Rhinolophus ferrumequinum: one gene and its partner. The protein of the gene in region 2 purifies or fractionates together with the protein of the main gene of each other region. This does not show direct contact. Links are inferred from orthologs where the notes say so. Each region holds a gene or a part of one and is shown on either strand. Other genes may lie near its edges.

What was found.
Region 1: the proteins of CSTF3 (region 2) and CSTF2T purify together in Homo sapiens (co-immunoprecipitation; 4 studies listed by BioGRID and IntAct, counting the BioPlex papers as one, with this or other methods). This does not show direct contact. The link is inferred for Rhinolophus ferrumequinum from reciprocal best matches to the Homo sapiens genes CSTF3 and CSTF2T.

What each region holds. Positions count from the first base shown.
Region 1 is NC_046299.1:34,700,787-34,711,250, forward strand, and holds CSTF2T (cleavage stimulation factor subunit 2 tau variant), read right to left. Parts: upstream 5,360-10,464; 5' UTR 5,084-5,359; coding exon 3,176-5,083; 3' UTR 2,811-3,175; downstream 1-2,810. UniProt on the Homo sapiens protein: May play a significant role in AAUAAA-independent mRNA polyadenylation in germ cells. Directly involved in the binding to pre-mRNAs.
Region 2 is NC_046294.1:24,518,942-24,530,512, reverse strand, and holds the start of CSTF3 (cleavage stimulation factor subunit 3), read right to left. Parts: upstream 4,831-11,571; 5' UTR 4,664-4,830; coding exon 4,637-4,663; intron 1-4,636. UniProt on the Homo sapiens protein: One of the multiple factors required for polyadenylation and 3'-end cleavage of mammalian pre-mRNAs.

The DNA of each region.
Region 1 (10,464 bases), on a different chromosome or scaffold from region 2:
AGAATTGTGAAAAGTGTAGTTGAAAAGTCATACACAATCTCACTTGGATTCGCTTATGTTTTGTGGAATACTCCAAAATTGGAAGTCCTGGGACATCAGCAGATTAAAATACATTTTGATGTTAATCATTAATATAAGGGGAAGTACTAATGGTTGGGCTCTAATTAAAGTTGATCATTTCATATTCCCAAGAAACATGTACTGCCCAAGAAGAAACCCTCCAGAGGTATTTGCAAATCAGTTTTACCCCACTATCTTCAACTAATTATTATGAATGAATTTGTGATTTCATTTGTAGTCTATCCTTATTTGGGAAAATGCAAGATGCCAGGGGTTGTAACCAGCCATTATGTAGTAAAACATGTAGGATTCTGATTGTAACAGGCACATTTTTTATTTTTCACTATCAAAATGGAGTAAGGCCCTATACTTTCTACACCAATATTGGGACAGAAAGAACCTATTTATTAGGTTTACCAGAGTAAAGGAGATTGCTTCTATTATGTCTAATTCATTTTCTAATGCAAATAGTTGTTATAGCTCATTTGGTCTGTGTAAAATCCAAATCCTTTTGGGTGAAATTTATGTGCTCTTAATGGGATTTTTGTTTCCCTAAGACTCTGATAAAATGTTTTGTCCTTCCTTTCTCACCCATGATTTTTGCTATAGCAAATACAGAAATGAGTAAGGCAGTCTGTGTTCAGAATTCCTGGTCTATTGGAAGTGTGTGTGTGCGGGGGTGGGGGTGGCAGTGGGTAAAAGTAGAAGTATAGTGCGTTGCAATATAAAATTGCTGTCAATAATGAAGATATGTATAAAGGGATCCTAGGATAGAGGAGTTCTGGGAACATAAACAAAAGGAAGCCTAATAACTGTGTATCCACCAAGATGCTGATACTGATACCAACCACAGAATAACACATCTTTATAGTTACTTCACTTGTGGAACTATATAATGTATCTAAGAAAGTGATCCTCATCCATCCCTGCAATTTCTTTAGTTTTGTCTTTTATATTAAAAAAAAATATATTCAAGCCCCACGGATCTCTCAATAGGTCACGTGAATAATGCATTCATCAAAAATAAACATATCAGCACAGGTAATAGAGTCAATGGAATTGTAACAGTTATATACGATGTCAGAGGGGTAGTAGATTGGGGGAGGGGGTTATCACTTTGTGAGGGGTGCAAATGTCTAACCATGACGTTGTTTTATACACCTGAAACTAATAAAACAAGAAAAAAAGTGACGCCATCAAGAAAAAAAAAGATTAAAAGAATTCACACACAACAAAATAAACATACCAGATAATAAAGTGAGACTTAATTCTACGTTCTTTTTATTAAGTCTGCATTAAACTTGCAGAGATTTTACTACAACAAAGAGCATAACATTTAATGGTTTTCATTTAGTTCTTCAGTGAAAGCTTTGGGATAAATCAACTGTAATTTCAAAGTAATCAAATCAACTCTGTATGAGTATTATCCAGAACTATCACACATGCACAGAAGAGCTATCCCCTCTAATATAGGGGAAGCATATAAAAACATGGGAAAATTAACAGTATGAACAATAGAAACAGGAATAAAACAGGTAGCCAGGAATGGTGTAGGGATGAAAACTTTGTAAAAAGATAGTGAATTACTAGTTAAGATGTAAAAACCTTGCAAGGGGAAAACATTCCAATTTCCAAGTCTCAGCTCTCTCCTTGTATTAATAACATTATTTCCTGTAACTAGACATTAGTTTTTCTTCTCCAGAGTAAGATCACCTGGTTATTTTGGTATTTATGCTTGTTAATTACCTGTGGTCTATGATGTCCTTATCATCAAGACTTAAAAACAAATCAGGTAGTAGCTCTGAAGGAAATGTGATAAGCCTCACCTTCCTACTGATTTTTAACTGTCTCAATGGTATGTTTATTAGGACTAAATGGCTTTATTACTTATAAAAAAGCAATGTGTAATAACCGAGCAGAGAACTTAGGCTATAAGAATCTCTCTACCTTCTTGGGCCTCAATTATTGTAAGATGGTGACAAATAGATTTTGAAATAAAAAAAACAAACACAAAAAACTAAAAGGCATGCTAAATGTTGCTGAGACTGAGATTTTTAACTCCTGATTCTGGTTGACTACATGGGCATCATCTGTATATGAACACTAGTTACCAAAAAGCAGAGCTTTACTGCATGAAGCCCTTTGCTATTTATGAAGAGCCCAATACTGTGTATAATTCATCTAGATAAACTGGTCACTAGGTATTGATTTTAGCGAAGGATGTGAAAGAGTAACTCTTTCAGATTTAGGGCTTAAAAGACTATGGAGAAATACAAGGTACTGAGAGATACACTGAATCTCATCAGAGCCAACTTAAGTAACCTGGATGATCCTAGAACTGCCCCAGCAAAACCACGTTCAGGGCCAGGCCAGAATACGGCTGGTCTCGTAAGAGTGAGATGAATGGAACATCACACTAGATGCATTCCTTGATTTTTCAGGTAGCATCACTTCAGAAAAGAACAATTCCAATACCACAAATTTAGACTTATCCTGTTAGCTCTAACGTTTCAAAATAATTTCAAAGCACTAAAACAGTGCTTAACCTAATACAGCATTCTACTGCCCCACAAGTAGGATTTTGTATTGTAAATGACTTACCAAAAATATATCTTATAATTTTGAGGTAAACTTCTTTATTTTCTTACGCAACTAAAAATCTTAAACTATCTTGGTTCATTACCATTTTAACAGGTCATCTTTTAGTCTTTATGTGCAGATTTCACATCGTTTTACTCAATATTTGAAAAAAAAATGTAGTAAACATATTGCAGACACTTTTAATATTGCTGCATATTCTTTGTAATCTTATTTGGCATAATATAATTATTTTCAGAATTATTTTTTGTGTATTTATAGTGAATTAAAGTGAACAGACCACTCCCTCTTACTCCTAGCGCCCCCCCCGCCCCCATTAAAAATAAAAAGGAAAACAGAAAAAAAAGACAACAAAAAGAAATGAGATTAGTTCTGGCAGGAGGGAAATCCTAATCATTCAAGTACAGGGGATGCAGAAGTTAGCTTTTTGCAGCCATTCTCCATGCAACAACAACAAACGACAACAACAAAAAAACCAAAAACTTTCTGGGATACTGCCAAGCATTTTTTAAACCTTTCAAGAAGCTCCAGTAGATTTCTGGATTTGTTCCTTTAAAATCAGGATACTCTGCCTTTGCTCAGGAGGCAGCATGGCAATTTGATCTGCAGTCAGTTGAAGAACTTGCATGATCAAAGCTGCCTTTTCTTGATCCTGTGGAGTTACTTGGCTCTGCCCAGGACTAAAACTGCTAGGCTGACCTCCACCTTGCTTGCCAGACCCCTGTATGCCTGTTGCTTGTATGCCTGCCCCCTGCATGCCCACTCCTTGTATGCCCGCTCCTTGTATGCCTGCTCCTTGCATGCCTGTTCCTTGCATGCCTGCTCCTTGTATGCCAGCTCCCTGTATACCTGCTCCCTGCATGCCTGCCCCCTGCATGCCTGCTCCTTGTATGCCTCCCCCCTGCATACCAGATCCAGGATTTCCCACCCCTGAAATGCTTGGGACCTGCCTGGGTCCCTGAGGACCACCTGCCCCCAAATTAATGGGAACAGGACCCTGGATTCCACTGTTCATAGGGCCTCTCGAACTGGGGCCAGGGCCTCGTATCTCCATTCCTCTTGCATCCATGCCTCTTGCTTCCATCCCTCTGGTTTCCATTGCACAGGTCTCCATTCCTCTTCTCTCCATCACTCGTGTCTCTAAGACCTCAGTTTCCATGGCTCGGGTCTCCATCCCTCGAGAATCTCTACCACCTCTGCCATCCATAGGTAGACCCCTTTGATCTATCATGGGTCCTCTGGGCTCTCCAATTAGCAGTCTGGGATCGGCTAATGGCCCTCCCCTCATCTCATGTGAGGAAGGGCCACGGCTGTCATGACCAGGGGCATGGTGCATGGGTGGACCCTGATGTGGTGGCCCAAGATAGCCCCTGGGCTCAACTTCTCCAGTGACTGAAAGCAAAGTCCCTCCACGTGGGTCATTTGGAGCATCTCCTAACAGTCCTCTAGGAGGCAGGCCACCAGCAGTCATGGGTCCACGAGGCATAGGAGCTCTAGGATCTGACATCTGCACCTGTCCCCGCTCTAAAGGCACTGGGCCAACCCCTGGCATTCCAACTTGAGGCTGCATTGCTCCACCAGGAGTTAAGGAACCAGGACCAGGTCCAGGAACTGCAGCTGGTATTGGCCCGGGGGCTGGAATTCCACCCTGGATAGGGGTCTGCATCAGAGGAGGAATATCTTTCACAGGTCTTCTAGCCAAATGCTGAGGCTGAGGTGCTGGAGGAGTCTGCTGGTTCAGCAAAACATTGGGTCCTGGGCAGAGTCCAGGGCCAGGGCCAGGGCCAGAGACGGGACCAGACACAGACTGAGATTTGCCTGGGATCAGTGGTGTGACATGTATCTTGCGATGAAGAATTTTTAGAGCAATCTCTGGATCCATGATTCTCATCACAACTTGTGCCTGCAACAGCGCATAAGCCAGTTGAGGGTTTTGAAGTAACATGTTTCGAGCTTCCTGGTGACTGTTTTGGACACAGAGCTTCATCTGCTTCATCAGCTCAAACATCTGCTCCGGAGGGAGACTAGCGACTGCTCTGGTAATTGATTCAGGAGCATCTTCTGGATCGATGGGATCCCCATACGGGGAGTCAATGATGGGCGCAGCAGGCCCTAGGCTCTTTAACTCCTCCTTGTTCTTTTCACTGGCAGCATTGTCCACCCGAAGCGCTCTCCCGCTGAACTCCCGCCCATTCAAGTTCCGCATGGCACTAAGCGCGGTCTCCTGGTCTTGGTACTCGCAGAAACCATAACCCTTGGGTTTTCCCGTCTCTCTGTCGTATACCAGCCGGAAACTGACAACAGAACCAACCTCCGAAAAAATGTCCTTTAACTGCTCCTCAGTCGCCTCATACGGAATGTTCCCCACGAACACGGAACGCAGTGATCGATCCATTGCCGGGTCTCTCACCGCCAAACTCGACATGATTCCGGCTGTTCAAAACGGCGGTGAGCGGATTCTTCCCAGGCTGTTCTTGCCACCGACACTTCCGCTGAGCAACGGAAGCGGCTCTCCAAATCCGGGCAGAAACGTCACACGTCCGTTTACATCGTTCCGCTTTTCGGTGGAATCTGCACCTCTACGTTCCACTACATTAGCTAATGGTTTCTGATCCTGGTCGTACGTGGTTCTGTCAGCACCTTATTTCTGAGACTCATAATTCCATTTTCGCCTCTGATTCCGCAGACTTTCGTGGCGCGGCACCACCCCCGCCAGGGAAAGTTTGGTGCGCGTTAACCACAGTAAAGATGGCCGCATAGACTTCACCATGGTAACAAGGAGAGGCCGCCTCCCTTTACGTCAGAGCGGGTTTTGCTTCCGTTTGACCGGCGGGAAACCGCCAACTGAAAACGGATTGAGGCAGCTCGTTCCTCCTTCTGATACGAGTGTTTGCACATAGCAGTTTCTCATTATTATAGTATATGTAAGCTACATTTAAAATCACATTCCAGACTTCAAGTGAAAAGTGTCGTTTCAAAACAGATTTGGGATTTTCTCCTTCAAATACAAAATTTATAGCTCCGTTTTAGGAAAAAAAAAAACACAACAGTTTGGGAAAATAAACTGCCCAGAAACAAGCCGAATGTGTGCCAGCTCCAGCCCCGCCCCATCGCGTTGCTTAGGAACACAGCCGTTGATAGGCGGCCGGTCCCTTCAAGTTTTTCTTTGTGCGCGCAGGCAGCAGTGGAGCTATGCATAATACTACTTGTTTTCTTTAACCGATATTAATATGAATGATTAACAATAAATAGCATTTTATGGCTGCAGAGTATGAATTAAATTTAACCTTTCTTACCTTGTAGGCATTTAGATTGGTCTGATAACTGTAAAGTGAAGTAATAGGTAATTTCAAAACCACTACTATGAAACAAAAAACAAACTATTTGTTTCTATTATGCTGTTAATTTTGACGGCAGAAGTTGAGTATACATAATGGAGTGGGGTTTTTTACCCCCACCTACTACACACGACAGAACTGGTAGAGCTGAAGCTTGGAGAGGGCTAGGTAATTTGCTAGGCAACCACTAAATGGCAAAGCCAGAATTCTCATCCAGGTATGGTCTGGCAGCTCCAGAGCTGCGCTGCCCCAATTGATAGCCACTAGCCACTTGGAGCTCTCGAGTACTGGAAATATGGCAGTGTGACTGCTAAATTGAAATTTTAATTGTATTTATTTTTTATTGATGTGAAATAAAAACTGATACTCAGCGAGGCTACTGGAAAACTTTTTGGTGTGTTTGAAACAAGTTGGGTTTAGAATGTACTTTAGCAATGATAAATTTTATGAAATCTAAATGAAAATCAAGTATTTCTTGTGAAAATTTAGCATCCTAATTGAAGTGTGCCGTATGTGTAAAGTACATGGAAGATTTTAAAGACTATAAAAAGTGTAAAATTATATCATTAACTTTATATTATTTACATGTCGAAGTAATATTTTTAATATGTAGGATTAAACAAAATATAATTTATCTCTCATTTTACTTTTTAAAATGTGGTTGCTTAGAAAACTTAAAATTACATATATGGATTACATTATATGTTTGTGGACTGCACTGCTCCAGAGCCTGAGTTTTAACTACTAAACATAGAATCATTACAAAGACTAGAGTAACTACGTATGCTTTTTGAGGGGATTATGAAACTTTGTTTCATCAAAAATTGTTTTATGTGTCTTGAGTATCATCATCACTGAGTGGCCAGAATTACAAAGAGCTATTAGGAACCTATGTCCAATGAATATATCTGAAATGAGTATGAGGTTTAGCTACAAATATGGTGAAGCCTTCATTTACCTTCAAATGTTTTAATTGTTCTTTAAAACAGACTTGGACATAGCTATTCACGCAAGACACATTGTAACTGATATCTGCAAGTGATAAAGTGCATTTATATCACCTATTAAAATCTTTCTGCTCTATCAAAAGAAACAGAATAGAGCCTAGTAGTAATGGTTTTCCCCCCTGATTCTTTTATTGGAGGCAGGGTGGAGGTGGAAGGGAGTTGAGGAAGATGTCATTTTGGAAAACTAAAAACAAGTACATTTGTCTCCTTTCCATACTATCTCTTTAAGGAGAGAAGCCATGACTTTTTTACACACATTCGGTCAGACAATTATGTGTGAAATTGTGTGTATGTTAAATGTAGTAATCATGAAGATAGCAATAGGCTATTAGGATAAATTATAAAGTTCATAAAAGGTTGCACAGCTTATCTGACAGTTGCTGTTTTTTTGTAATTTTTATTGGTGAATATTGGGGAACAGTGTGTTTTTCCAGGACCCATCACCTCCAAGTCAAGTCGTTGTTTTCAATCTAGTTGTGGAGGGCACAGCTCACTGGCCCATGTGGGAATTGAACCGACAACCTTGGTGTTATAAACACTGCACTATAACCAACTGAGCCAACCCGCCGCCCTGACGTGACAGTTTCTTTACTGATGCTCTGATAATAGCTAAACCAGCGGTCTTCATACGTTAGCATACATCAGAACCACCTGGATCCATGGCTTAAGTCAGATCGCTGGGTCTCTTCACCTCTCCTCCCCAATTCGGACTCAATATTTCTGAGGTAGGAGTGGAGAATTTGCATTTCTAACGAGTTCCCAGGTGATGCTGACGCTGCTGGTTAGGGGATTTCACTTTAAGAATCATTGTTCTAAACAAAGGGACTTGAAGTGTTTATCCACTTTTGTTTTCATCATTTGTATCAGGACAAAATTTAGTGCACTCTGTTAAAAAGTATAAGATATGGATGGTCTTTAAAAATTATTAATACTTTAATGCTGATCTAGTAACACTAGTACATGCTGATCCCACTCTGAAGATACCCTGGGTTCAAAGGATGTGTGAACAGAATAGCTGAGGGACTGGGGATGAACAAGAGGGAAGAAGCCTTTTTGTCATCGGTCTTCCATGTTCTCTTTAGTCCTCATATTCCAAACTAGAAGAATGGTTTGATATGGCTCCCTAGAAGATATGGCCTTCTCCTTAGAAAACCATACATGGTTTGATATGGTCTTCTCCATAGAAGACCAGTGTGTTCCAGCACATAGCTCAATGCTCAGGACCAATAAACTAATATTTATTATTAACTGAGTGGCCCAGAATTACAAAGAGCTTTTAGGAACCTATGTACATTTCCTGGTAGCATCATAGGTTTACCCTGGAAGAACTTACATTTTATACTGCTTTTTTTGTTCCCATAATGTTTAAAGTTTAGATATTTATAGCATGACATATACTCTGAAGAAAAATGGATGTGGCATCTTGCATGTTCAGGCATTGATCCAATAAATCAAAATATCAGCTGTACTAAGAGTGATTTTTAAACAAACACATCAAGGCATATGGCCAAATGGGGGCTATCCTTCAAACTAATCACCTTCAGAAACTGGAAACTTAATCCATTTGGACTTCTGTTGTTCAAAATGATTTCTAAAGTCCTATTCTAAAGTTGTTTTAGGGCTCCATTTTTATGTCATACTAGAAAACTGGTGCCTTAACTCGAAGGTATACCTTGTTTTCAACCAAGAACAGAGTTATGTAACTAAATCACCTAAATGTCTGACCAGATGTGGTAAAAATATATTAGCTCTTTCCAAATATCAAGACATACATCAGAATATAAAGATTCTGTATCCTTTGAGCATACTAACAGAGATTCACTATAGATTAATTAGATTCCAAAGAGAGGTACTAAAAAATATTTTTAGTTATGACATTTTTGAAATAAATGTGTGGGTCCCTATACACAGAGATAGATCAAAATACACTCCTACACAAAGTTCTCTTTAATCTTCTTCCTCCTTCCTCTAGATTGGAAGTAAGTTCATTTTTCTTTGGATATAAACCATTCTTTATCTGTACCTGGCGAATGAGAGTAACTTTTCTACCTTTTAGTAAACCATATCATTCAAGGAAAGAGCAAAGATGGATTCTTCTTGTCAATCAACAAAGTGCCTTATATTAATTCTTTTATTCCATAAATACCGGGGGTGCCAAAAAAATGTATATGAGTGGACACTTTGTGAGCGTTGCTCAAGCGATAGTTTGCCGTAATCAGAAATGTCTGAATGCTGATGGTAACCACTTTGAGCACCTCTTGTACTTACAGAAGTCAAATGTGACTTGTATTAATCTTTTGCTATTGGTATATATTGAGTATTACAATTTTAATAGATTTTTTTCCTTTCTTAAAATGTGTATACATTTTTTTGGCACCCTCTGTATTTATCCTAGGCATTGGCAACACAACAGTGTAAAAGACAGCCTTTCCACTAGAACATGTGTTCTCTAAGTGTTGTTTCTGGACCAGTATCGTGAGCATCACTTGGAAACAGAAATGCAAAAATTGGGGGCCCTACTCCAAACCTACTGCATCAGAAACTTGGGGTGGGGGGGGGGTTGTACATGTGTATACTGAAATTTATTTTAACAAGCTCCCCAGGTGTTTCTGATGCAGGCTAAACTTCAAGAACCAGTGAAATAAGGAGAGATAATCATAATGAATAGGTTAGGTAGGTAGAGAGAGAGAGAGATAGATAGATAGATAGATAGATAGATAGATAGATAGATAGATACTTGGTCTTCTTCACACTGTATCCTCATGACCTAGGAAATAGCTTAGCACAGGTGGGCGCTCATTATATGTGGAATGTATGATGAGAAGTGACTTCAGTTGGCTAATTCACAAACCCTTCATTTTGCAAAGGAGACACTCTGCATTAAATAACATGCCCATAAAAAGAATGAGCACCTGCTGCTAGGACCCTTCTCATTTTATACCTAGGTCAGTGACAGTTGTTCCATGTTGTTATTTGATAAATGGATATGCAGTGAAGTATGTAGAGATGGAAGTAAGTGATAGAGTCTGTATCATCAAAGACATCTTGCTGAGGGAGCTGGGATTTAAGGGATGGGTTATAATCTGGTATATATAAATAGAAGACAAGGAGAATTAGCCAAGAGATAGGGATAGACAAGACATGAAATTGGAACCTAGTGTTTTTTGATGCCCTCAGAGGAAACTAATAGAGAGTTGGTGAATGGTGTGATAAAACATTGTCTTTTGGGACAGGTTACAAAAAGGTTTTGAAAATCAGATTCACGAATCTAAACTTGATGTGAGAGTCAGTAGGCTTTCTTCCATCTTTCTGAAACAATGAACATAGAATAATAATGGCAGAGGTTTAAGAATACCAATCTTATACAGTCCTTCTCCGTGAACTTGGACATTCTTTTGAACTTGGACATTCTTTTTAATCCATTCTAATTTTACATCTAAAGTGTGGCCATTTATCTTCCT
Region 2 (11,571 bases):
ACATTAGGAAAAGATCAATTAGGATATAGTTTTGCCCTTCTGCTTTTACTCAATAGTTACTGCTTATTATAAAATAGCCATTAACCTACAAATAGGTTAAACATTTGCCCAACTCAAGTTCCTTTTTAGATCAATTTTCACATCATTACCAACTATCCAGCAGAACAAAAAGACTCAAATTCACTGCTAGATCTTGTCTAAAGAGAAATAAAGTTAAGAACAGTGACAGAAGAGCTTAAAACTATTAATTGTTTTTGGCAATTGTCCACTTAATAGGTACAAACATCTGAATACAGATTTGCTGTCCCAGGTCTCTCCAGTATGTCAACCCTTGTATTCCCTGAAACTCCTATGACCCTAACGCTGAAAGAATGGAATCTCTCCTAACACAGTACCTTTCGGCTGTACCTCTAAGGAAAACCAATATTTTTGTAAACACAGATCACTTTCTCTTAGAAACCAATCATTGTCAAATATTCTATATAGCCCAGTTTTCTCAATAAATATTAATAACGATCAAATCAAATTTGCTCCAAGCTGGCATACTAAATATCATTTCAAAATAGGAGGGGGAAAAGTAGGAAAGGCTATCACAAAAGATTTTGTTAAAAACAGGTAAAAATAATTGGGCCCAAAGAAAGCTCCGCCTAAGTACTTGATCCTTTCCTTCTTCCCTGTTCTTAACCCCTACACACACCCACTTTGGCTTTAAAATTATTTGGCGCTGCTGTTACCTCTTAACTGCTAGTAAGTAGTAATAATTACCCAACAAAATAAACCAGACTTTAGGTTTCAACATTGTGGGTGTTTGAGCTTTCTTTCCTCATTAATAAGTATATAACAATACATATTTTTCATATTTTCTGTATCTTTCCCAAACTTATTTTTCACCAAAGCAAAACACTGATTTGTGGCCCCGAATCCCCTTTTGTTAAGTACTGGCAATTTATCTGTGCTTCCTCAATTCATGAAATTTTCCCAAAGTGAGGATCATTTTGTTTATATTTTTAGGCCTTCTTTAGAATAGGCTTATAGGTTGTTTACATCTTATTTCTAAAAGACGAGAGTATAAAAACATCTTAGGGACTCAAAGGTTCATATGAATTGACATGGCCCAACACATTCCTCTTCCTCCTTTTAGCCAACAAAACTTTAGAAACTATCCACTCTTATGTCCAAAATATTTTATTTTGCATTACTTATGCATCTGTGTTTCACAAATGATTAAATTCTTTGAATATTTGTAATGTATCACATGTAACCTCAGTACAAAATTCATCCATTCATTTACTGAACACTTTTAAGAATCAAAACAGTATTTCCTAGGTTTTTAAAATGCAATGATAAATACAGCAGCCCCTTCAACCCAAGCTCAAATGCAGTGGCGGGCACTCTAAGCAATAGCTTACTAAATGCTGTAGGAAGTAGTGCATAAGGTAAAATAAGGCTAAGAAAGAATGAGATCAAAAGTTGAATCCAGCAGTTAAAAAAAAATCTGTAAGATAAAAATACAGTCATTATTCCACACATGAACCAGATGTGTTCATTAGGGAGAAAAAACTGTATGCACATATTTTGTCCCCATTAAACTGGCAAAAACAGTAAACACAAAGCTCCAGGAGAATACCCACAAACACTGGAAGGTAATTTAAATAGCTCCCTAAATGCAAAACAGAACTTCCTTACAAGAGCAAAAAAATTTACAATAAACCTTAGTCGTGATTTTGGTTCTCTACAATCATTTCCCTCTTTCAAAGGGCACAAATCCAGACATTCAGTACCAAGAAAGAAATGACCATCCATATTTTTGACTTAACAAATAAGGTATTATTTGGTTTATTTGACAAAAGCTTCAATGCTAAAAGGCTAAAAGAAATCTATCTACACTTCATGTATTGCAAAGTTCTGTCTATCCCATCCGTTGGCATCTTTCCTAAGCAAATCCATCATTCAGAGTGCTTTTGATTTTATTATTCTTCACTTCATGTCATTTTAGGCACTCCTCTTTTCCTCTAAATTTTCACTGACTGTTGTCTTATACATAAAAAAAGTTAGTTGATTCATATTTTTAATCATGCTATTCTTTAAATTATCATTTTGTTTAAAGCTGAATCCAGCTTTTAAAGCAATGGAAATGGGAAGAGCGAATGAAAGTATGGAGAAAACAAGATTTGCAATGAGTTGAAGATCTATGATAGGAACGTACATTATATTAGTCTTTCTTTTTTTACATGCTTGAAATGCATCATTAAAAAGTTAAAGATTATACAAAGATGACTGTTAGTATTCAGATGTCAAAAATGTCTTTCCAGAAATCCAGTGATACTCAATCTATGAAAAGGAGAAAAGGAAAAAAGGGAAACTTCATATTTTTACAGAAAAATATGAGCCAGTACGTAGAGACAGAATAAGAAGTTTTAAAAAGCCACCATTTGCCACCTCCAATATAATGACTGATTTATTCAAAGATTATCAATTGATAACTAGGTAAAAAGTTAGTGAGGAACACAGTATCAACCCACATTACTAACTGTAAAGGGGAAGATAATCCTTTACAATGAAGCAGTTACCCCAAACAAGTGATCAAACTTAAACATCACCAACAATGGAACAACTTAGCAAGAAGTGCCTTTTGATGTAATGTTATAAAGTATTCTATCCAAAAATATTTAACCTAAATATTATCAGAGCTCTGAGTTTAGTTTTTCAGGAAATACAGACAATGAAGGGGACAAGTTAAATGACAAACACAAAAATCAAATAAACCCAAAAAGTGAGAAATTCTAAAAGTAAACTAGATTCTTCAAATAGACAATATCCTAGGGGAGAAAAAATTGGGAACTATTCAAGAGAAGTAACCAAATAATGCAATGTGAACCTAGATTAGATTCTGATTAAAAATAAAAAACAACAACCAAACCCTATGAATCATGTTCTTGGGACAACGGGGCAAATCTGAATATAGACTGGATTTTAGAAATGATACGATGACAATTTTCTTAGGTGAGAAAATGGTATGATGGTTATATAAGAGCATCAATGCTGAATTATGTGGGGCTGATGCTAAAAATGAGAATGTTGAAATATGTGGTACTGAAATATATGTTGACTTACTTTCAACTAAATATGTATCGGGAAATAAAGCAAATGTGGTAAAACGTTTAACAATTGATTCTAAGTGAAGAATTGTACTATTGGTGTTCATTGCACTTTCAACTTTTTTCTATGTTCTTAACTTTGCACAATAATACTTTTCGATGAGATTTTTTTCCTCTGTAAAATTTCACCACCTCTCTCCCATTTAAAACACCATTTAAAATGTTCAAGGTCATGGCAACATTTCAGTGTCTTTACAATTTTAGATGAACATATTCACAATGAATTCTGGAACCTTTCAGTTAAACTTCACTGCATAGTACTCCTCGACTTTCAGAGGACAAAATATGAGCCCAGAAAGAGGATAAGATTAGATAAACAGATTTGATTTAATATTTTTAAGGCTTTGTATTCTTGGGCATCATGTAAAATGTAAATAAACACTGCAAAGATTTTAGGACTGAAATCAGTCGACAAGTAAACACAAAATTCAATGAGGCAAACTTTCAAGACATAATAAAACTGACAGTCACCCAATATCCCAATAGGAACGCTCCAATTGTGCCTCATCTATGTCAACCTCCACTTTATAAGCTGGAGACTTGAAAAATGAAAACCTAAGTGTATTTCGTTGCTATGGCAATGAGAAATTTCAGAAAATTGAGACTCTGCAGGCTAGTCCAACTCCATTTTAAAAACTATTTACCTAAATATACCAGGACATAAGTCGAAAAACAAATTGAATAACACCTTTCATAAAATATCAGTTTTATTTTTCAAACTAAAAGGTAAACACTATCCTACAAAACTCTAAAGAGCAAAAGAAACAAATCACTAATCAAAAATGTGAATTTTAAAATATTTAAACGTTACTTATATCCATATTAAAACATGCTTTTACAGGGGCCAAAACAGACTTCTCGTTTCCGATCTATCAAATTCTGAAATATCTGTCTCGCTGGAAAACGAAAATCAAATGTGAACAGAAGCGAGAGAAAGCCACAAAATTCCTAAATCGCAGCACAATCACGCTCTACTCCCAAACTGTTTCCTTCATTAGCTCAGGCAAGTCTATTTCCCCAGATTACTTTAGTCTCAAATTATTTCTCAAGCTAGTAGTAACCTATTTTTGAGTACAGTATATATCGGTGAGAGGGCGGAGGGAATATTGTCAAGTTTTTCGAAAACAGCGAGTATACGTTAAAATAATCAATTCCTAAGAACCTAAACATCAAAATGGTATCAAAGGAAGGCATCCAATTAGAGTAGTCCCAGGAGCCTAAAATGGACCAAGCAGCTTCCTGGCTATTGTCTAAATCAATTATTTGTTCATTATTAACGCCTAAAACAGAGAAGCCAAAAAAAAATTTTAAGTCTCAGTCAGACATTGTCCCCCATTTCCACCATCTTCCTGTACCGGGTCCTCCGAGTTCATTAGACCCTTGATCCCTTCCTCAAGCGAACATGGCTGGAGTACTAGGACGAACAGAGACATGGAGAGAAGAGGTCGCCACGAGGCCCCACCACTCTCCTTCCTCACCTGCTCCGTGGCTGCGTCTCCTGACATGGCCTCAGATGATTAGAATGTGCGAACTGGCCCGCGATGCGAAGCTAGAAAGGAAAATTTAAACTAAAAACCACCCCCAAACCAATAAAATTACCCCCTGCCCAGCGGAGCCAGACAGCCAACACGAATTGCCGCCGCCCACTCAGATATGAATTAAAATGGCTGCGCCCCTGCCGGCCGAGAGAGAGGTGTGGCGTTTGTGTTAACTTCCGGGGCAGTGGGCGGGGTTAAGGTCGGAACTCGCCGTTTACTCGGCGCGCAGGAGCAGAGCGATCCCAGGGGGACGGATCCATTGCCTTGATGACGTCACGGCACTGGGCTGGAGAGACTGTTGCTGAACTGGTTGCGACGTGCTGGGAGGCGGGAAACTTTGGATAGAGGCTCGCGCGCCTCTTGGAATTTCATTATCAAGCTGTGGATCCCGGTTCTTCACTGTTGAAGCCTGACTACCAATCAGTTAAGTTCAAGCACACTGGCCATCTTAGGAAGCAATGCTAAGTGTTAAATGCCTCCTGTATTTTGGAAATAAGGAATCTATCAAGGTTTTCTATGGTCTCAGCTAGTGCTTTTTACGCTTCTTGGGGATAAGAGGGACAAATCAAGCCCATATTAATATATTCTGTCACCATCTACTATTGTGTCTAAGACTTTGAAATCAGTTAAGGCCCGCTTTTTAAGCTCAGTATCTCACCTTGGTTCCTCGTCTGCAAAGTGGGAATAATAGCGCTCAGTAACCTTCGGTAATTGAACTTCCCCGTGCCTCAGTTTCCTTGCCAATAGGCAGGAATAACAATAGTACTTGCAATTTTAGTAAGTTATACATGCAGACATGCTCAGAACAATTCCTTGCATTGTCCAAGATTAAGTGAGAGAAAGTCTCGAACTTCTTTTCCATTCACGGATCATAATTATATGTCTCCTTCCACCTCCCTTGCCTGTAGTGGCCTATGCCCCAGACAAAGTGAACTATTCAACTTTTCATGTACACCCCTTATTCTTTCCAGTCTCCCACTATTGCTCATATTTCCATCTCTGCCCTTTGCACAGCCTGAATTCTTACCCTTCCGACTAATCAGACACATGAACAAAAGATGCATATTGACGTGTTAATTTACCATTCAACAACAGAGTACTAGTTAAATATGTAACAAGGTATCTCTACAATGGAATGTCATACAGGCAGTAAGCTGAGCTAATGTACAATTACAAACTAACAGAAAGACATCCATGATATTAAGTGAAAAAGAATACAAAAATAGTATATATTACCAGTATATAGGATGTACAGTATATTATGTATATATTTATATACACTACCTAGATTGTGTCACATAATTTTCCTGTTTGTCTGTGATGAACTAATGTAAGAATAATGCCAAATTCTCATGGATATTAGCTATGCTAATAATTCACCTTCCAAGTGGGTTGAAATCAGTGGGTACTTCTGAGTGAATTAAAAAGCAATCAAAATTTTGTTTTACAATAGCTATCCTTTGAAAGGTGTAAATCATCACTAGAGCTTGGGAATTTGTCCTGTACTACAGTTTATTTAACATTTTTAGAATTTATTTAGTTCATTCCTTTCATTAACTCCCAACATCATTTTAAAGATGAAAGTAATTCTGACACCAAAATTGTACAAGGTTGGCACTTTATAACTAATCCTAAAGCCATTTTTACTTATAAACAAAATTGAAAGAAAATCAAAAATCAAAATCACCAAATTGAAAACAGCACTGAGCTTAAATAAATATATATATATTATATGTATATTTTATATATATATATAATACAAGATAGTTATATTTATCCATAAGGATGGATTAACATTAAGAAATCTATTAACAAAAAAAAAGAGAGAAAAGAGAAAAATCTATTAACAAGAGAAAAAAGAAATCTATTAACAAATATATTGTCATATTAATAATTTTAAAAAAGAAAATTTACCATCTGATATTTATTAAAAAGTATTTGATAAAATTCCACACACATTTATGATTTAAGAAAAGGAAAATCTCTAACTAGGAATAAAAGGAAACTTCCCTATCTCCTAAAAAATATTTCCCAGAAATCTTCAGCAGATCATATTAAATTACAGTAATGGCCACCTTTCACTTGTATTGTTACACTGTACTGGAGGTCCCAGCTAATGCCAAATGAAGTACAAATGTTGGAAAGTAAGACAAATCTGTCAATGGTTTCAAACAATATGATTTTCTACTTAGAAAATTCAAGTAAACCAATTGACAAATTATTAGAAATAATAATAGAGTTCATTAAGGTGGCCAAATAAAAGATTAACTTACAAAAATTAATAGTTCCCTATACTCCAGCAGTAATGGATTAGAAAAAAATGTCATAAATGAAAAGATATGCTCATAATAGCAATGAAAACCATAAAACATCCAGAAACAGCTGTTGTTCTGGTCACCTATGACCTTCCAATTGCCAAATGCAGTAGTCAGTCTTTAGGTCTCTATCTTATTTGATCAACCAGCAGTGATGAAGCTGATCACTCTCTTCTTTTGGAAACATTTTTGTCACTTGACATCCCGAATACACATTTTTTGGTTTTGTCACTACCTCCTTGGCCACAACTATATAGTAGTATACATATACATCTTCTGAGTGATGTTGGCTGAGATATAGATGTATAATGAAAGACAAATAAAATACTATTACCACATATATTGTAATATTTTATTACTACAAATTTTGCCACTTGCAGTGTTTCCATGAATCCCCCAGGTGGCAGACAAATACAATTTCCACTTGATTGAACAAACTTGGTAAAGAATATTACATCCTTACTGCAAATCATTAGAAATATTCATCAGAATTTCAGAGTACAGTCTAAGTATACTTACCATATGATTAAGGAACTAACTTTTCATAACTGACAACAATTTTGTTAGAATCATAAATGGCAATTGTTAAATTGCTGAGCAATCATTGTATTATAATTAGGCACTCTGATAAATATATATTCCACTTGACCCATCATTCTAAACACTTACTGTAGAAATGTATCTTCTGGCTATGGATGCTAATATTGGTCCTTTGTTTGGAATCTGAAAAAGTCAATTAAGCATCACTGAGAATAAAGCAAAAGCTCTAATCAATTGGTTGTATTTTTAAAAAATCTTTGGAGATTTCTATAGTTATTTCTAATTTTAAACTCATGTCAGTTAAAATTGGTCATAAAATGCTGAGTGTATATTATACTTGATATAAGATACCCACTTGGCTGTAAATACGTTAAACATACCTGACATCCTCACCCTCACAGCTATATTTTAATGTTTCAGTCTGCTTTTTATATTTTGATCTATTTTACAAAAAGTTTAATAGGCGCATGACTACAGCTATGTAGAGGGATGGGCAAATATGTTAAAAGCTTGCTTGAGAAGGACACAAATATATCTGCAACTTTGTTTTTTAAAGTATATAAAACACTTTCAAGTAATGAGTTTTCCGTATACATGATAAAATTGCCTGGAATGACTGTTGACTCAAATTGAATTAGAATGTTAATTAAACACATTTACACATAAACACATGTTTTATACATTTCTTAAGTTTAATCTGACTCTACTACTTGAGTCGAAAATGATTTGAAAAGTAAAAATAAGGGCTGATCAGTTGAAAAAAAATCTGGGAATTGTTAAATATATTCATTGTTCTAAATATTTTTAAAACTCTCTTAAATTAGTCAAAGCACTAGAACAAAAATATTGGTTAAAACTGAGAGAGGAAAAAAAAGCAATTACAATGTCAACAATTTGAAAAACAGTTTTTATTTCACACAGTCCCTTTTGTATTCAATTATATGCACACATTTTTTCCTTTTGCGAATACTCGCATATAGTTTTGATTTCTGTGGAGGGCTATTTTTTGTTTTTAAAAATGTGACGACTGGGGCTGCCCGGTGGCTCAGGCGGTTGGAGCTCCATGCTCCTAACTCCAAAAGCTGCCGGTTGCATTCCCACATGGGCCAGTGGGCTCTCAACCACAGGGTTGCCGGTTCAACTCCTCAAATCCCACAAGGGATGGTGGGCATCACCCGCTGCAACTAAGATTGAACAAGGCACCTTGAGCTGAGTTGCCGCTGAGCTCCCAGATGGCTCACTTGGCCGGAGCGTGGGCTCTCAACCACAAGGTTGCCAGTTCGATTCCTCAAATCCCGCAAGGGATGGGGGGCAGTGCTCCCTGCAACTAAGATTGACCATGGCACCTTGAGCTGAGCTGCTGCTGAGCTCCCAGATGGCTCAGTTGGTTGGTGGAGCGCATCCTCTCAACCACAAAGTTGCCAGTTCCATTCCTCAAATCCCGCAAAGGATGGTGGGCTGCGCCCCTTGCAACTGGACCTGGAGCTGAGCTGCGCCCTCCACAACTAAGACTGAAAGGACACAACTTGAAGCTGAACGGCACCCTCCACAACTAAGATTGAAAGGACAACAACTTGACTTGGAAAAAATTCCTGGAAGTACACACTGTTCCCCGATAAAGTTCTGTTCCCCTTCCCCAATTAAAAAAAAAAGTGACGCCTATATTAACTGGTGTGACATAGACATTATACTGCTTCCTATGGCCTCTTAATAAAAGAAGCTAAATATTTTTGTCAGGTAGGGGCACCAGAATCAGAGTCTACCCAATAGATAGACTCCACACTCATGAATTAAACAATCCAATTACATATACCCTACTTGAAAAGCTGAAGCTGGACGAAGAGACAGTAGCGGGGAGGGAGAGATGGAGAAAGAGAGAGAGGAGGGAGGGAGAGAGAAAGAGAGAGAGAGAGAGAAACCAAGTGGATGCTGGTGTAACCAGTCCTAGAATCGTCTCAGTTATGAAGTGGCTTAACATTTTAAAACTATACATGTCCTTACAGTTAATCTTTTTCCCTTAAGACTGAATGAACTTCTGTTCTTTGCCACCTAAAGTGTGACACAACCACATTTTGATAAATTATCAATTCATGCCCACTTTCCCCTTCTTTTTCTGTTCCCTTACCTTTTATGTGAGCTTGTTCACCAAATGATTCATTTGAAATAGAAATAATTTTTAAAAACCAATTTTAACAACTCTGAAAACAACTTGATGTTGCATAAAAATAATGAATATTTTAGAACTTTGCTTCCACGGTTTCATCATTATCCTTAATCCTGGAAACTGTATAAAAGATGTATTCATTTTCTAGTGGAAAAATCTACAACCTCCATAAATTTACATTATAAAATGCCAAGTCTGTTTTCAGGACATGAATCTGGCCCACAAAAGACTCTCAGTAAAGTATGTATGCCTCATAATCTTTGGTGTGATAATACTATTCTGCACAGTAGTATAATACTACCACTATACTCTGCGTGGTGATTTTCATCCAAAGACTCTAGACTCTGTGATGGTCATTTAGTTGTTTACTGGTAATAGTACACAGAAGGATGGAATGTGCTATCCCTGGCACAAACAGTCCTGCTGGAAATTTAGAGAGAATAAAATGTCTCCATACTTCAGTGACTACAGAGAAAACTTTTTGGAAAAGAGAGAAAGCAAAGTTCCAAGAAGTATATATTTATTATCTCTGTGCTGGGTAGCTGGAACTCTTTGTCAATGAGGTCATAGTTTTCATCCCAGTGTGGCTCATTTATCTTTGCTAACTTCCTTAATCATAACATGTACCCCTAACCCCAGCCAACTGCTTGATAAATGTCTCTTCTTGGTCCAAAGGAGGCCTGAAAAGAGCATAAAATAAAATGTGAAAATCCACCACTATAATTGGAAAAATAATTGAAAATGCTTGTCCAACTGACAATAGATTAATAAAGTTACCATTTTCGTCTAGATACTGGTTAGTAGTCATATAGAAAGGCACAGCCTACATATACAGACAATTTCTGAATGATTCTAGATGAATTATTGATTCATCCTAATAGTGATAGGATTTCCCAAATGTGTTTCATTGTGTGTCAATTAATGTACAGATGGAGCCTTATTATTTATTTTTATTTTATAACTGGAAGTTTGTACCTTTTGACCACCTTCGCCCACTTTGCCCAAACCCAACTCCCACCTCTGGCAACCACCAACAATCTGTTGTATCTATGAGGTTGGTTTTTATTTTATTTTGTTTTATATTTCACAAAAAGTGAAATCATACAGTATTTGTCTTTGTCTGACTTGTTTCATTTAGCTTACTTGAGGTCCATCCATATTGTCACAAGTGGCAGGATTTGCTTTTTTTTAAGAAATTTTATTTATAGAATTAAAGACATGGTATTCTAATTATTCTTTAATAATAAAGTTTTAAAGTTATTTTTAATTTTGAAAATTATAAAATTATAGAAATGTAGTTAATACAGAAATGTAAAAGGAAAAAATAATCCAGTTTAAAGAACACTTTAAAAAACCACTATTAACATTCTGCTATTTTACTTTCTAATCATTTTATTGATACTTTAAAATTAGTTATGGTTATTTTATATATGTGGATGTAAGAAATGTCCAAACCTGTAGAAAATTTGTACAACAGTTTGTTAGAGGGGATGGCTGGGTGGCTCGGGTGGTTGGAGCACCGTGCTCCTAACGCCGAGTTTGCCGGTTCAATTCCCACATGGGCCAGTGAGCTGCGCCCTCCACAGCTAAGATTGTGAACAGCTCTCTCTGGAGCTGGGCTGCCATGAGCAGCCAGAGGTTGGCATGGGCTACCATGTGCTGCTATGAGTGGCTGGCAGCCATCGAGAGTGGCCGGCAGCCAGCCAAAGCTGCTGTGAGCGGCCGAGCCGACCGACAACTGGTGACCATCTGCCTCAGCCGGGGGGAACGCAAGGCTCATAATCCCAGCATGGGCCAGGGAGCTGTGTCCTACACAACTAGACTGAGAAACAACGGCTTGAACCGGAGTGGAGGCA